Styela clava: one gene and its partner. Each later gene encodes a partner of the first gene's protein in a complex. Links are inferred from orthologs where the notes say so. Each region holds a gene or a part of one and is shown on either strand. Other genes may lie near its edges.

The links. The genes of interacting proteins can lie anywhere in the genome.
Region 2: ribosome quality control complex subunit NEMF-like (region 1) and ribosome quality control complex subunit TCF25-like share a complex: the UniProt entries of both Homo sapiens proteins name them as parts of the ribosome quality control complex. The link is inferred for Styela clava from reciprocal best matches to the Homo sapiens genes NEMF and TCF25.

What each region holds. Positions count from the first base shown.
Region 1 is NC_135256.1:10,605,221-10,613,520, reverse strand, and holds the start of ribosome quality control complex subunit NEMF-like, read left to right. Parts: upstream 1-5,066; 5' UTR 5,067-5,116; coding exon 5,117-8,212; 3' UTR 8,213-8,300. UniProt on the Homo sapiens protein: Key component of the ribosome quality control complex (RQC), a ribosome-associated complex that mediates the extraction of incompletely synthesized nascent chains from stalled ribosomes as well as their ubiquitin-mediated proteasomal degradation.
Region 2 is NC_135262.1:6,384,662-6,391,899, forward strand, and holds the start of ribosome quality control complex subunit TCF25-like, read right to left. Parts: upstream 3,346-7,238; 5' UTR 3,292-3,345; coding exon 3,142-3,291; intron 2,397-3,141; coding exon 2,244-2,396; intron 1,559-2,243; coding exon 1,422-1,558; intron 1,213-1,421; coding exon 1,027-1,212; intron 567-1,026; coding exon 470-566; intron 1-469. UniProt on the Homo sapiens protein: Component of the ribosome quality control complex (RQC), a ribosome-associated complex that mediates ubiquitination and extraction of incompletely synthesized nascent chains for proteasomal degradation.

The DNA.
Region 1 (8,300 bases):
GCTTCCGAAAACAAACAATACAGTAAAACTAATCCCATACCCGACTTGGAATGGTAACCGGACGAGAGGCCGTGGTTCGCCATATGGATAAGCCGTCTTATCGGCTTTCCTCTCCCCCGGGATAAATATGTAAATCCTATCCTATCCACTTAAACACATTCTTCGAAAATGATTCATTTTGTGACAAAATAATATTTCTTGTCAAATGTTGGAAAATAGTCACGAGATTCAGCATGACATAAACCACAATGCTGGCAAACAGAATGAAATTTTGACACACGCTTAAAATGACCAGTAGGCTTTTGAAATTTGTCAATATTTACACGAAATATTTTACTATTCAATGCGAACTTGTTAAATCTACATCCCGGACTATAACGTGTGAATTTTTCATGATGAGATACAGAATAAACTTCTCTCGTTGCAGTTACAGATTCAGTGAGTTCATGTATCACACATACATCAATAGCATTTTCCAATGCAAGATTGGTTTCTTTTAGCAATTGTGTTCGCAGGTTATCATTAGAAACACCAGTCGAAATTCGATCTTTAATCAACTCATCTTTGAGATCACCAAATTCACAAGGCGTGACTTTATCTTTCAAGTCTACAACAAATGATTGAATAGGTTTACCTGGCACCTGTGCTCTTATGTTAAAATGATGTCTTGTTATCCTTGACTTGACTCCTTATTGATTTGGAATTTTAGCACATTTTCTATTCAGGCTTTCTGGACTCGGCACAAGACTCGGCAAGAATGTCACCTTCAACTGCCTCATATGTAAAAGATTCGGGTCTCGTACCAAAGCAAAGTAATTTTTTTTTTTCGATTTTCCATTACAACAAAACAGAGAAGCAATACATGACAAAACAAACAAATACACGGAAAATCGGCAAAATCTAAAAAGATCTATGACGTGCTGATGCACTTACCCCAAACAGCACATTGGGGTAAATTTTGAAAAAATACACGAAGGCAAATCCGGGTGTAAATACTTGGATGTGAAGTTTGAAATACACTTTCTACTTTATATATCGTATACTGGAAAATAACGATTGGTATAGCGTACAACAAACAAACAAGCGGTGCACAACATGTGATAATTATTGTGTGATTCTGAACAAAGCAAAATATAACAAGAGTATTCCATGCACTGGTGTTGAAACTTCAGTAATTATCAAATCCATGTGCTTTGTGAATATGTGCTATTCAACGGTCTTTTTATGAAATCTATTATCAAATATACATTACATCTGTCATTTGACTGTTCATGTTATCATCAGGTTCGATCAGTTTTCCGCTAATGAGCTGAATGTCTTGTACGTTCGTTGAGTGTTTATCCCTTTAATACAGGCCTACCATTATCCGCAATACCTTTCTGTTAATTTTTTTATTCTCTCTACATCTTGTGAATGTTCTGTTTCATACTACAGTCGGACTTGACCATCAATGATTGTCAACACCATTTTTCTTTCCATCCCAGTGTTACATGTTCCCTAACCCTAACCATAATAACTTCTAGAAAGCTTGACGCAAATTTTTTTTTTATATGTTATTCCTAAAGCCCGCCTGACTACGTCATTCAAAAATTACGCCACAGTGTCGTAATAAAGCCCACAAAAATATACGGATGGTCGTCAAAATCGCCAATGAACCGAAGTCGAGCAAGCTACTTCTCGCCGTAACGATCCCGAAATGAGGAAGGATCGCTGGCGTTAGTAATAGATAGATAATGATTTATTTCCGATACAAGTACATAATACAGTAATCATAAGCAAACAACAATAAGCATAAAAATATATACGAAAGGGGACGGGCACAACTTCCAAGATCAACAAGGTCGACCGACCCCTAAGGAGAGATTCTACCAGGACAGGACACTCTAAGCAGGCATCATAATTGCAATAAAGAAAAAAAAATTTTTTTGAGTTTCAAGCCCGCTTTAAGAGGCTTCAGAAATCAATTCCCTAAAAGTACTGGAATAAGAATAAAAATTACAAGGAACAAGAAAAGGGAACATCACATAATTACGCTCTTCATAATGTTTTTTAATAGTAATAAAAAAAAGAGAAAGAATAAAAAGGGCGTAGAGCTAATTATAATTTCCTCAAATTAAGTTTACTTTGTGTTAGACAAGAATCAAATCGTGACAACAATTTCTATGAATGAGTGAAAAATTAAAAATACCATATTTCCCAAGCTATATAGTACATATAAATACTTCAGACTATATATAGCCTAATACCATCTTCAAAAATTTTCACAGAGACATATGAATATCCATCTATAAAAGGGTGAATTCATATCCATTTCGTGAATCTGATAGCATACACGGAGATTTGCACGTTATTGCATCACATTATAATCCGCTAATAAATAAAATTTTAGTTTGCGATCAAATAATTTTGGGGAACAATGTTTCATACTCTGTGGAATACTTTGCCATACATTAATGCCTTCCAGTTTAAGCGATTTCCACATGACTGATGATTGATATCGCGGGGTGAAATACAATTTGTTTGATGTCCTTCTCGTCTCGTACGGATGGATATCTGAAATTTTGACAAAAAAGTCTTGAAAATACTCTGGCAGCAGCAAATTTTCATAACGATACATAAATTTTCCTAATTTACTTATGTAGATTTCTTTCAATTGAAGAAATCCACAATGATGTGTGGAGGCGGGAGTGAGGGGAGGCGGACAACTCGACTACACGAACACGGACGGTTAGTGAGTTCGTTATCGTCGACGCAGCTGCGTCCTATTTCGCCATCGCAATAATACTCTTTCACGCTACCACCAGAATATATGGGAAAATCTGTACCGGTATATTTATACATCGGCACCTATTTCTGTATTTTGATTTGGCTGGTACAGGTACCGTACATGGGTCAGACGGGTCTTTGCAACAGTTCTTGTGGAACCAATGTGTTTCGCTGCAGCTTTCGCAACCGACCCATTCATCCTCAATTTCCGTACTTCCATTTGGATCATTCCATAATCCACAAGCAGAGCAGGTTTCGTCTTGATTATCACTTTTCTGATTTTCTCAGAGCTCCCCGTTGATCGGCTCGGCAGAGGTTCTTGCCCGGTGTGACTTTCGATCCTCGCTTTCGTTTCACTTGACTTGTGCTTGTTGAATGTATAGATTTTAAATAGGTAATGAGAGTAGACGTAGCCTGGTCGTTCATTTCTTGTCTATTGACGTCTGAGGAATGAAATTCGTGAGGTGGTAGTTTAGACAGCACCGCAGTGGGGTTAAACGGGTGGATCCCACAAACTCGGAATCCCGATTTCAGATTTTGGGCAGATGTTTCGGCCGATTTTTGAAAAAGTTTTTTTAATAACAAAGGGAAATGTTCTTTCGGGAAACCACGAATTCGTGATTCTGCTCTCCAGTCGGCTACTATTTTTCGCCACTTTGCTTTGAGTGGGGAAAAAAATGAACAATCGAGAGGCTGGAGTATATGAGTGCTGTTGGGTGGCAGGCACGTAAAATAAACATTGTGTTCATCCGCTAATTCAACAACCTCCACGGTTAAGTGCGATGACAAATTATCACCTACGAGCATTTTGTCGCCGTCTAGTTTGCCACGATACAGGAGAAATACCTCTTTGAACCAGCGGATGAAGGTTCTGGTGTCAAACCATCCGCTGGGTGTTGCGTCGTATATTGTCCCTTCAGGCCCATCGGTTGTCCAATACTCGTAGATGTTTAGCGCGGAATAGACAACCATAGGGGGCAAAAGGCTTCCAGCGGCAGATCCACAAAACATGATAGATATCGAGCTTTTTGAGAAATCTCGAATCATCTCAACTCTATTTGTACCGGTTGGAACTATTGAAAGTTTTCTGCCCGGATCGTCACGAAGATTCGTTTCATCGTAGTTGAAGATGTTCGTTGCAGGTAAACGCGTCGCTATTTCTTTAATCTCGTTGAAGTAATTCACTATTTCCTCTGACCCCACGGCTGCACGTGCTCTTTTAATGTTTGAGGCAACTCTCTTGGATAACCGCTGCCTTTTGCAAAAATTATCCACCCACATCGGGCCAGGTTTGTTGTTGGGGAACGTAGGAGAGCTTATTCCCATTGCATCCAAATAGTTTTTGACAATGTTGTACATGTCCTCCGGTCCAATGGGATATCCCCAACGTGCAATGATTTTGAGGCTATTAGCAAATCGCTTCTCCTCTTCATTGGTTAAACCAGTCGGGCGACCAATACTTTTAGTGTGAGTCTTCTTCATTTTGTCGAATAATGTCGACCTTTTCACGGCATTGCGTTTAGCTGCTTTCGCATACGACATCCCTGCTCTAACATCAGCCATAGCCTTTTGCAAGTCCTCGCTATTGCTTATCGGTATATTTGGCCTGGCCCAACAATTTTTGCATATGCATATGTAATTTCTAACCTCCACATGACTGCGTCATCCGGAAATTACATCACTGTGTCATAGAGCTTGCTAAAGTATAGTTACGATCGTCCGAAATGGCATCTGTGCAGCGATCTCTCTTTTATCGGTACTGGTATCGTTTCGATGACAAGAAATAGCTTGCTCGACTTTGGATGATTGTCTGTGCAACCATTCGTATACTTTGAAGGGCCGTATTACGTCATTGCGACTTCGCAGTGATGTAATTTCCGGATGACGTAGTCATCTGAGGGTTAGAAATTACATATGCAAAAATTGTTGAGCCAGGCCAACTATAAGTACTTGCGGCGCGTACTTCAGGAGACCCCAAAATTGAGCTAGGCTAACTAGAAGTACATGTGGTACCGGTACTAAATTATACCAGACCCAGTGTTTACTTCTGTTAGTTCTGTACTTGTAGTCAATTTAAGTATTTTCACATAGAACAGTAGTACTCCATTGGCGATGGGCTGTAGAGGAGTCAACACTTCCTCTCTACTTCGCTAGACTTGAAATATGAATAAAAAATAATATTTAAAATATAAAAATAAAATTTTATTCAGTCTGATCTATTTACTAAATTAGGCATATGTTTTTTTCATATCAGAAAGTACAGAAGTACGGTACATTTGCCTGTATGCTAGCAATATTATATAAATAAGATCATACTGTCATAAGGTGTTGCTGTATTGTAATCATCATCATGAAGACCCGTTTTACGACTCTTGATATATCTGCTGTGTTGACTGAAATCAATGCCAAGTTGGTAGGAATGAGACTGGCAAATGTGTATGATATCAACAACAAAACCTATCTGCTAAAACTGGCAAAGCCTGATTTTAAGGCTATATTGCTAATGGAATCAGGCATACGTCTTCATATTTCTGAATTTGATTGGCCGAAAAATATGATGCCTTCTGGATTTTCAATGAAAATGAGAAAACATCTTAAAGGGAGACGACTGATTTATGCAAAACAACTTGGAGTGGACAGAATAGTTGATATGCAATTTGGTACAGATGATGCAGCTTTTCATATAATTTTAGAATTATACGACAGAGGAAATATAATTCTCACAGACCATCAATATGCTATTTTAAATATTTTACGATTCCGTAAAGATAAAGCAGTATCATCAAATGAGGGGAATGCAGATGAGAATTCAGATGTTCGTATTGCAGTAAATGAAACTTACCCGTGTGATTCTGCAAAACAGCGCAAAAATTTTTCTGAAATCAAGTTGAAATTAGAGGAAGTACTGAAACAAGCTAAGAATGATGATGTTTTGAAAAGGATATTAAATCCTCATTTACCATATGGAACAGCGTGTATTGAACATTGTCTTCTAAAATCAGGATTCCCCATAAATGCTAAATTCGGTAAAGAGTTTAATATTGAGAATGACCTGGAAGGTTTGTTTATTGGAATATATCATGGTGAGGAACTACTTGACACATTAATGAAAGATTGTTCTAATGGATGGATTGTGCAGAAGTCGGAGAAAAAATCTGATGGAACAAACGTATTAACAAACACTGAATTTCATCCGTTTCTATTCGAACAACATAAAACTTCTCCAAACGTTAAATATGAATCTTTCAACAAATCCGTTGATGAGTTTTTTGGGAGTTTAGAATCACAAAAAGCTGATATGAAAATTTTGCAACAGGAGAAATCAGCAAATAAAAAACTTGATAATATCAGGAAAGATCATGAGCAGAGACTCTCAAACCTCGATAAAGAACAAGAAACTGATCTTCATAAAGCACAATTAATTGAAGAAAATTTGACTTTAGTCGATCAAGCTATTCACGTTGTCCGAACTGCTATCGCTAATCAAATTGACTGGGGAGAAATAAGCAGTTTAATTAAAGATGCACAAATAAATGAAGATCCTGTAGCAATGTCAATCATAAAACTCAATTTAAAGAGCAATGAATTTACGATGGCTCTAAATGAAGCGTTAGATAATTCTGAAAGTGAGGAAGCCTCTTCTGACGAAGATATTAAAAAATCTAAAAAGAAAAAGCGAAAACCTGTTAAAGTTGACATTGATATCGGCCTTTCGGCTTACAGTAATGCAAAAAAATATTACAACAAAAAGAGACAGGCTTCATCGAAGCAACAAAAAATCATTGATGCTTCTGGAAAAGCCCTCAAGTCGGCTGAAAAGAAGACAAAGTTGTCTCTAAAAGAAGCTGCTGTTGTTCATAGCATTCAAAAAGCAAGAAAAACTTTTTGGTTTGAAAAATTCTTATGGTTTATATCATCAGAAAATTTTCTTGTGATAGGAGGAAGAGACGCTCAGCAAAATGAAATACTTGTGAAAAGATATCTTACCGGCAACGATTTATATGTTCACGCAGATCTTCATGGGGCTACCAGTTGCATAATTAAAAATCCAACAAGTGCTGATGTGCCTCCAAAAACTCTCAACGAGGCTGGTACAATGGCTATTTGCCACAGTGCTGCGTGGAATGCAAAAGTTGTAACGAGTGCATGGTGGGTACACAGTCACCAGGTATCCAAAACAGCACCAAGCGGAGAATATCTAACAACTGGTAGTTTTCTTATTCGTGGAAAAAAGAATTACCTGCCCCCTTCGTATTTGGTATATGGATTTGGTTTGGTATTTAAAGTGGAGGAAACTTGTATTCACAAACATAAAGATGAAAGAAAAGTCTCTGAGCTTCAATCATTCAATGGTCAAGATATACCTGATTCCACTGCAACTGAATCGATAAGCAGCGAATTGGAAAGAGAACTAACTATAGATTCGGATACAGAGGGTAGTGATTGTGAACCTGAAACAAATAGTTCTGCTGAACCAGCTATTAAAGATGAGACCAAAAGCGACACAGCTGATAATGAGCCACAACTTGGAACTGTTGATGCTGTTATGATGGATAAAAAGCCAACTGGAATACAATTTCCAGATACAAACATTCAAATAAAATACGCAATTGGAACAAATTCAGCTGATGAAGAAGAAAATCCTGATGTTGTATATCTTGGTGATGAAGAACCGGTTCTTGTGAAACAAAACAACCCAACTAGCAAACCTAGAATATCTGCAAAACAAAGAAGAGATGCAAAAAAGAAAAATCAACCGAATTCCTCAGGTGATCTTGCAGAAAATGATGTAATTCCACCGAAAAATAAAGATTCACCAAATCCGGTCTTGGTGAATGAAAATCCTCAACAGCATCCTGCAAAAAGAGGACAAAGAAATAAGATGAAAAAATTGAAAAGCAAGTACAAAGATCAAGATGAGGAAGAAAGATTATTAAAAATGGAATTGTTGCAACAGTCTCAGAGTCAAAAAGCAAGAGATAGAAAAGCCAAAAAGGCCAAGTCAGTGGCCCCTCAACAAAAAGAAACAAAAGTTCAAAAACAGCCACGTCCTAAACCTGCGAAGTCACAAGAAAATGAATATGATTCTGACGAGGAGAGAAACAAAGTATTGGAAAATGAACATTTATCAGAAGAAAGTATCGGAATTTTGAACTCTTTAACTGGTTGCCCTTTTCCTGATGATATTTTAATGTTTGCGCTGCCAGTGTGTGCACCATATAACACTATGCATAATTATAAGTTTAAAGTGAAACTTACTCCCGGTAATACAAAGAAGGGAAAAGGTGCCAAAACTGCCCTAAACTTGTTTCAGAATATGCGTGATACTACAGCCCAAGAAAAAGATCATTTGCGCAGTATTAAAGATCATGATTTAGCTCATAATATTCCGGGTAAAATAAAAGTTTCATCAACTCATTTGCAACTCCAGAAAAAGAAGAAATGAATGGGTAGTTAGAGATGGGTTTTATGCAAAAATAAGGTGATATAGTATGTATATTTTGTTTAACCTCAAAGCCAGGCGTAGCGTACTG
Region 2 (7,238 bases), on another chromosome or scaffold:
AGATGTCACACAACCTGAACTATGACCTTATACACCACCTGAGTTCAGGTTGTGCGTCATCTTGGTGCGCATACTTCAGGAGGTCCCAAAAATCTAATTAACTTCTGACAGATTAAAATAGGGAATACTACTGTTTATCCCAATTATTCGGCAAAAGCAAATCTGATTTCTATGAATTTACAATAGTCTTGAAGAATTTCTCCTGTGAAACAGACCCATTTCAGAATATATTCGTTATTCCAATTTCGTAAAGGTTATTTCAGAATGTATTCTTATACTAGATTATTCGGTTTTGGCCCATCCCTGGCAGTGGTATGCTACATGTTGATCATGAAGTGTATGTGTCGAAAGTATAATGCAATGCCAATAACATTTATAAAGATAGCAAATCTATAATGCGCTAAAAGTAATTGATTTCTTACATTTTTAACATTATTTTGTTTTTGAATACAAAAATTGTGTTACTTACCGCAATTTGATTGTGGTCAGATGAGTCGACTGCATCTAAAAATTCAAACTGCGCTTTTTGATATTCCTTGCTATGTTCGAACGTAAAATATTGATATCTGTAAATACAATAATTATATATAAGTAGACAATTCTCCACTTTCATAACATAATAACTTTGACAAAGGATAGGATTCACATAATTATTCCAATTGAAGAGAAAGCGAATTAGACGGCTTAATCATATTGCGAAGTACAGCGCCTCATCCGGATACCAGTCCATGTCGGACTTGATGGTGGAGAAAACTGTAACCGACCTTACGCGCCGAGAAGTGCAGCAATCCACTCGCACATAATTATCTCCTCGGCATGCATACCCGAGAAGAGTAATCATCAGGAGTGCAGTGGTCAACGTATTCCTAACGCTTAGCATGATGCACCACACTGCCGAGACACATACGCGAGCCTTCATCAATAGACTGTTACTAAAAACACTTAGTAGAATTAAATGCTTTAAGTTTCTGTGCTTCTTTTATCACTATTGAAAGTCTGGAATTCCCTGTTTAACAATAATCTTACTTCTGTGATTTTTCCAGGCAAGTCATACTCAATCCACATTTGGTTAATCTGGGCCAATTTGAAGTAGGTGAAGTCAGCCAAGTTCCTTTTAACGTCTTTACACGATTTCTTTGCCTGAAGTTAGCATCATCCAGTAGAGTCCGAGTACCAAATATTCTTTTGAGTTCGTTATCTGGATTAAGAAACCTGAAATCCAATTTATATCTTCGTCAAAAAAATGAAAGAAATAAAATATATACGTACCAATGAAAATGACTTTAAAAAAATATTAAAACCAAATTAGGTGAATGAAGGATATGACCAGGCTCTGGAGTTGGGTTGGGAGTTTTCTAGTGATTTGTGTTTAAAACTGAAACAAAATTTTTTTTGAAAGTAAGAAAAACAATTATTATTACCTGTGTTCAACAGTCAATACATATTTATATTTTTTCACTTGGACACTGTGGTTAGAAAAATCCCTATTTGGTTTGTTGTTTTCCATTTGAGCAATTTCATTGACAACTTTTTCAATGTCTTCTTCTTCGTCTTTTTTCTAAAAAATACAAAAAGTAATTTTAGCCAGATACTCGATTAATAATAGATTTCCAAGCAAGTGAGCTCTGGGAGTCTGGCATGTTGTCAGTGAGTGGTACCGGTATTTTCTAACTCAACGAAGTCGGTAGCAACATTCCGAATTTCATGAAGTGGTGATAAAAGAAGTTAAAAATTCCTACACAACTCTACAAGTATTCTTAAAAGTCTATTGAAGAAGTCTTGCATAATGCTTATTGGGTGTTTATCATCAAAATTTGATTTTCTTGCACTTCGGTGCTTGAGTCAGAATTTTGTCTCGCCCGGAGTAAGATGCGATTGTTAATTCTCTCAAACTCCACGGCTCAGGCTGCCATAGTGGACATATGTCATAACAGCCTATTTTTTTATCCTGCGAATCAGGTTACTTTGGGACTTATTCAAAAATTGTGAATACATAGCTAAAATCAATTGGACAGAACTGGTATCCCTCATGCAAAATTAACTTATTATGTAAATACGCATTTTTATGACATTCCCCTTAATTGAGAATAAAATTTGGGGTTTTAACGTCAAGGATTTTGACAGAACCTCAATATCTAGTTAGCTTAAAACCATACTGTAAATAAAAATTTGGTGCCACGGAACAATAATGGACATATAATTGAGAACCTTCAAGTCTGAATTAATATTTTGGTACCACATACATTCTTTTTTGCAACATTCTTTTTCTTCTTCTTTGTTTTCTTCCTAGCACCAGTTTGTATTGGAGTTGGTTTTTCTATATTCTCATTCACATTTTCATCTTTGTCAATATTCGTTGATTCATCTGATTCTACATCTTCATTTTCATCGTTTAACTGTATTTATATTAATACTTTAGAAATCCATTGATATAAACAATTTACTTTGAGTGTAACCCAGTGCTGGTAGGGTAGTTGTCTCTAAATCTAAGTCGAGAGTCAATTCAAGTCACAGGTTATCAAGTCGAGTCGATAACAGAGTTAAGTCTCACTGGCGGTTGCCGGTTAATCAAGGGTCACCTTCAGTCTATGAGAAAATGACTGGAATCAAAAAAATGACTGGAGCTGGTAAAAGCTCTAAATCAGTGGTCTGCAAACTTTATGTGCTTCTGGGCAAAATATGCACATTAATTAAACAGTAGCCACATCAAAATCAATTTTTATTTCTGTTTCTGTTTTTATTTCAGTTCTCAGATCCTGAGGTGTCCCAACATTAGGTTCAATAAAACAAACACTCTATTCGTCTCTGAAATGAGGACATCTGGCATGATGGCAAATGTGCCGGCTTTAAATCAATCGCAACAGGTGTCGGCCGTCACATGACCAAAATTGCACTTTTTTGGTAAAAAGTTTCAAATGCCATGGTGAAATATTTTTCCCTTCAGTACAGCGGGTTAATTTTTATTAAAAAATCTAAAGGTGATGTTTTAAGATTGAAATTCCTTTTTAGTTTATTGTGCAGTTAATTTGTGGCGATGTGGAGGACCTTGCACTCACTGTTATATTTCATGACTTTCAATGCAGGGGCTATTCTTGGAATTGGAGAACTGTGCCGTACTTTAGTAGTAAAAATTCTAAATACCAAGTCAAATAGGTTTCTTCTTTCTTGAGATGGTTTTTCAGTTTGCTCAGAAGAATCTTCTTCTTCAGAACTTTCTACAGCGGCTAACGCTGCTAAATTTTTCAACTCATCATCACGTCCATGAAGTTTCCTGAGAACTCTTGTCGACATAATCCAGGCTTACACAAAATAATTTTACTATACCGTAGTCTAATTCTCTAGATAAAGAAAGCCTCATTGAATTAACCACACTAATTAAGAGTGTAACTATACCGTGTAGTACAGTAGTAAGTACAGAAGTATACTGTCACAGGAGTGATCAAGCTTTCTTCAAAATGTAGAAATACCGCAGTACTGACATAACCGTCAGTTGATTCAGATATTGAAATATATCTGTATATTCACAGCTTGCGAACAAAGTCAGTTCAAAGTATATTTATAACTTACAATATGCTATTGCAGTGCTGTCACCTGTCTCGTACAGACATACGGCACCTACTGACTTTTGTATAGGCTTCAGGTACCGGTATAGTCTACCAGTGCGGTTCCTTTAATTACCAGAACGGGGTGGAGAATCTACATAAACCTACCAGAACGGACCTTTATATGTCTTGTAAATGCCATTTCATATACTTCCATGCAATGTTTATATAAATAAATCGGCAAACTTGGGGGGACAGTGGTAAATATAATTTTTTTTAATTACAGTACGGCACACTATAAAATCGGGTGACATTGTCCCGTTTCAGAGAAACCCATTTTACAGATGATCAGACACCTCTCCTTCGGGAGACGTCTGGTCATTGCTGTCCTTCAATATCGGTAATATTACAGTATAATGAAGTTGCAAAAAATACTACAAAAAAGCGCAATCTAGTAAGGTCATCATTGAATTCCTTGGAAAAAATAATCAGATTTACCGAAGGAAAAAATCTTTTACTGTAGCATTCGAAAGTTTTTAGCAAAAAAACGCAATTTTGGTCATGTCACGGCCGCGATTCATTTAGATTATTGTTGAGACAAGCATGGCGTGATATGAAGCATCTGTCAAGGTCCCAGACGCCCCTTGTTTGTAAGACACATAGAGTGTTTGTTTCATTGAGCCAAATGGAGGAAGTTCTTGGAATTTGGATAGTGTGCTGTACTGAATTATCGGAACGAACCCTAAATTGCAGGAAGCAAGTTTATTCGCATAACATTACCCGAGTCAATAACTACTGGTTACTGAGTAGGGCTGGGCATTTAGTAAATTAACATTAAACTATTAGAATAGCAATTTCAGAATTTACTAATCGAAAATTTGGTAACACTTGACGCGACAGGTCGCTTCGATAGATACCTACCTAAGTGGTGTTTCTCGCAAGTTTGAAAAACGAGGAATAAATTTTTTCCTGGTACGGTAGGTGCCAATGGTGGCAACCCAAATTATCTAAATTCAAAAGCGTCAATACAAAATACTAAAATAAAACCTGAAAACTGAGAACACCAAAAGTGGTGTTTTATGATGGTTACGACCGATTAAAAACGCTTTTTAAGACATTGCAAATCGCAAAAATTCGGGTTCTACCGTAGTACACATACCTGGGCAGTTTCCCTTCGAATACTTTTCTTTACTACCTCCACAATCCACATTGTTACGTACATTACTGGAGCGGCGTAAGGGTTGCACGAACAGCACAGATTTGTCGAATTCAGAAAAATAGAAATTAAAACAAAATATAATCAGCTACTTTACCACGCATTTTAATGTCAACGGATTGTCATGGTATTTTTGAGAAGTAATTCTTTGATTTAATCAACACAACCGCAGGTTAAAATGATCCCAATTAAATTAACAAGAGAGTTATGCTCAAATATATGGACACGTAGCACCCAATGGCGGTAATTTTGATGACGTCATAGCGAAAAAAAGTATTAGCCTACTCAATGACATTAATGTCATTGACCTACTGGAGAAAATTTTGGGGCTCCCAAAGTATGCGAACCAAGATGGCGGACATCGGAATGTAATACGTGTACTAGGTTAGGGTTAGGCCATAATTTTAGCTATAAATACTACGGGAGGCTCTTGGCTAGTCTTCGAACTGATAATAGGACTAAAAGAAGGAAAATTGGAAAAAAATTATCGCCTAACCCTAACCTGTTACCCATGTTACGTTCCGATGTCCGCCATCTTGGTTCGCATACTTCGGGATCACCAAAATTTTTATCTTTGACCACTGAAAATTTCAAAGCAATAATTGGTCCAGTATTCAAAGAGAAAAACGATTTTTTTAAAAATGATGGAGACAATTAATAAAAACAACATAATATTGAAACGATCGTATTCAAAGAGAAACACGATTTTTTTAAAAATGGTGGAGACAATTAATAAAAACAACATAATATTGAAACGATCGTTATGTCCACCCTATGTCCACTTCTAAAATATGCCCGTATTTGAATATTTATTTTATGCAACAGTAAAGATCATTGAAAGTCACCATTTTTTTACTTGACTCGCGCCCTATTTCTTCTATTTTGTGTTCGTTGTTGCTCTGATTGGCTGGCTTCTTTTACTTGCTTGCTCTATATGCTGTGGCGGCGATGCGTGAGACTTTTTTTACAAATTTCTTCCTTGCTGCATTCTTATTTTTTTATCTCTCCACCAGTTTCTTCTTCCTCTTCAACACTTCCTCTCCTCCACTTTTTTTTATAAGGGAGACTTTTTTTACAAATTTCTTCCTTGCTGCATTCTTATTTTTTTATCTCTCCACCAGTTTCTTCTTCCTCTTCAACACTTCCTCTCCTCCACTTTTTTTTATAAGGGGACTGACTGACTGACTGAAGATTTTTCTTCTTGCTCCTCACCACAGAACGAACTCATTTTTTCATCTACTTTCTTGTCTAGATGCCACCATAATTTCCATTTTTTTCGCTTTATCGCTCTTCTTTTTAATTTCTGCTTCTCCGCCTCCTCTTCCTTCCTTGTTTTGTCTGCCCATTATTCTGAATCCTGAAATTTCTCCTCTTGGCTGTCCGCTGTATTTCTCTCTCTCTTGGTTGTCCGCTAGATTTCTCTCCATCTTTTTTGATAATCTGTCTGATTCTTTCTTGCTCCCCTTTTACGACGGATCGATCTTCTTCCGTCTGTGTCTCTCTCTCTCCTTTCCTCGGCCGTTCCTCGTCGGCCATGCTCCCTCCCCTTTTACGACGGATCGATCGATCTTCTTCCGTCTGTGTCTCTCTCTCTCCTTTCCTCGGCCGTTCCTCGTCGGCCATGCTTGTTGTTTGCTTATTATTCTTTCACTCCACGAAGTTTCGCTTTCTCGCACTTTTTTTTTAAATTCCTTCCCCTGAAATTTCTGCTTTTGGCTGTCCCGCTGGACTTTCTCTCTTTTTTGATAATTCCGTCTGATTCTTGCTCTCCTCTCTGTACGCCGGATCTTTTTCTTGGACGGTGACCTTTTTTGCCCCTCCGTCTGTGTGTCTTCCTCTCTCCTGCCCGTCGGCTGTTCCTCCTCGGCCATGTTTCTTGTCTTTCAGCTGCCTTCCCACATCGCTCTTCGGTGTCGGCCCACCTGGCTTTTCTGCTGACCCTTCCCTACAGCTCGGTTCTTCTACCTTGCGGCCTTTCCTCCTTGGACACCTTTCTTTTGCCCTCTTGTCTGTTCCTTCTTTTGACTGCCTTCCACCTGGCCTTTTTTGCTCTCGCTCGATCTCCTGTCCGCCGACTCCCTTTCTTCCCTGGACCAACCTGGCTTTTTTGCTGACTCTTTCCTACAACTAGGTCTACCTTGTGGGGTCCTTTCCTACAACTAGGTCTACCTTGTGGGGTTCGAACCCACACTCATACCTGGCCTCATGTTCAACCATGTCTCCACGCTTCCCCTGCGCCACCGCTACTGACGAGAAACGGGCGGATCAGAATTTTACTTAATTAACAACGTCATGCCTGGCATACCACGACGAGCATAATTAACCCGAAAAATTATATATACATGCTGAGTTGTTTTGAAGCAGGTGTGATTATGCCCGAATGGAATTCGTTCATCTGGCACTATTGTGGGCGCTGTTGGGTGTGGGGATATTCGGGAAATTAATATGATATCCCGTTATTAATCGTTGTTTATCTGTAA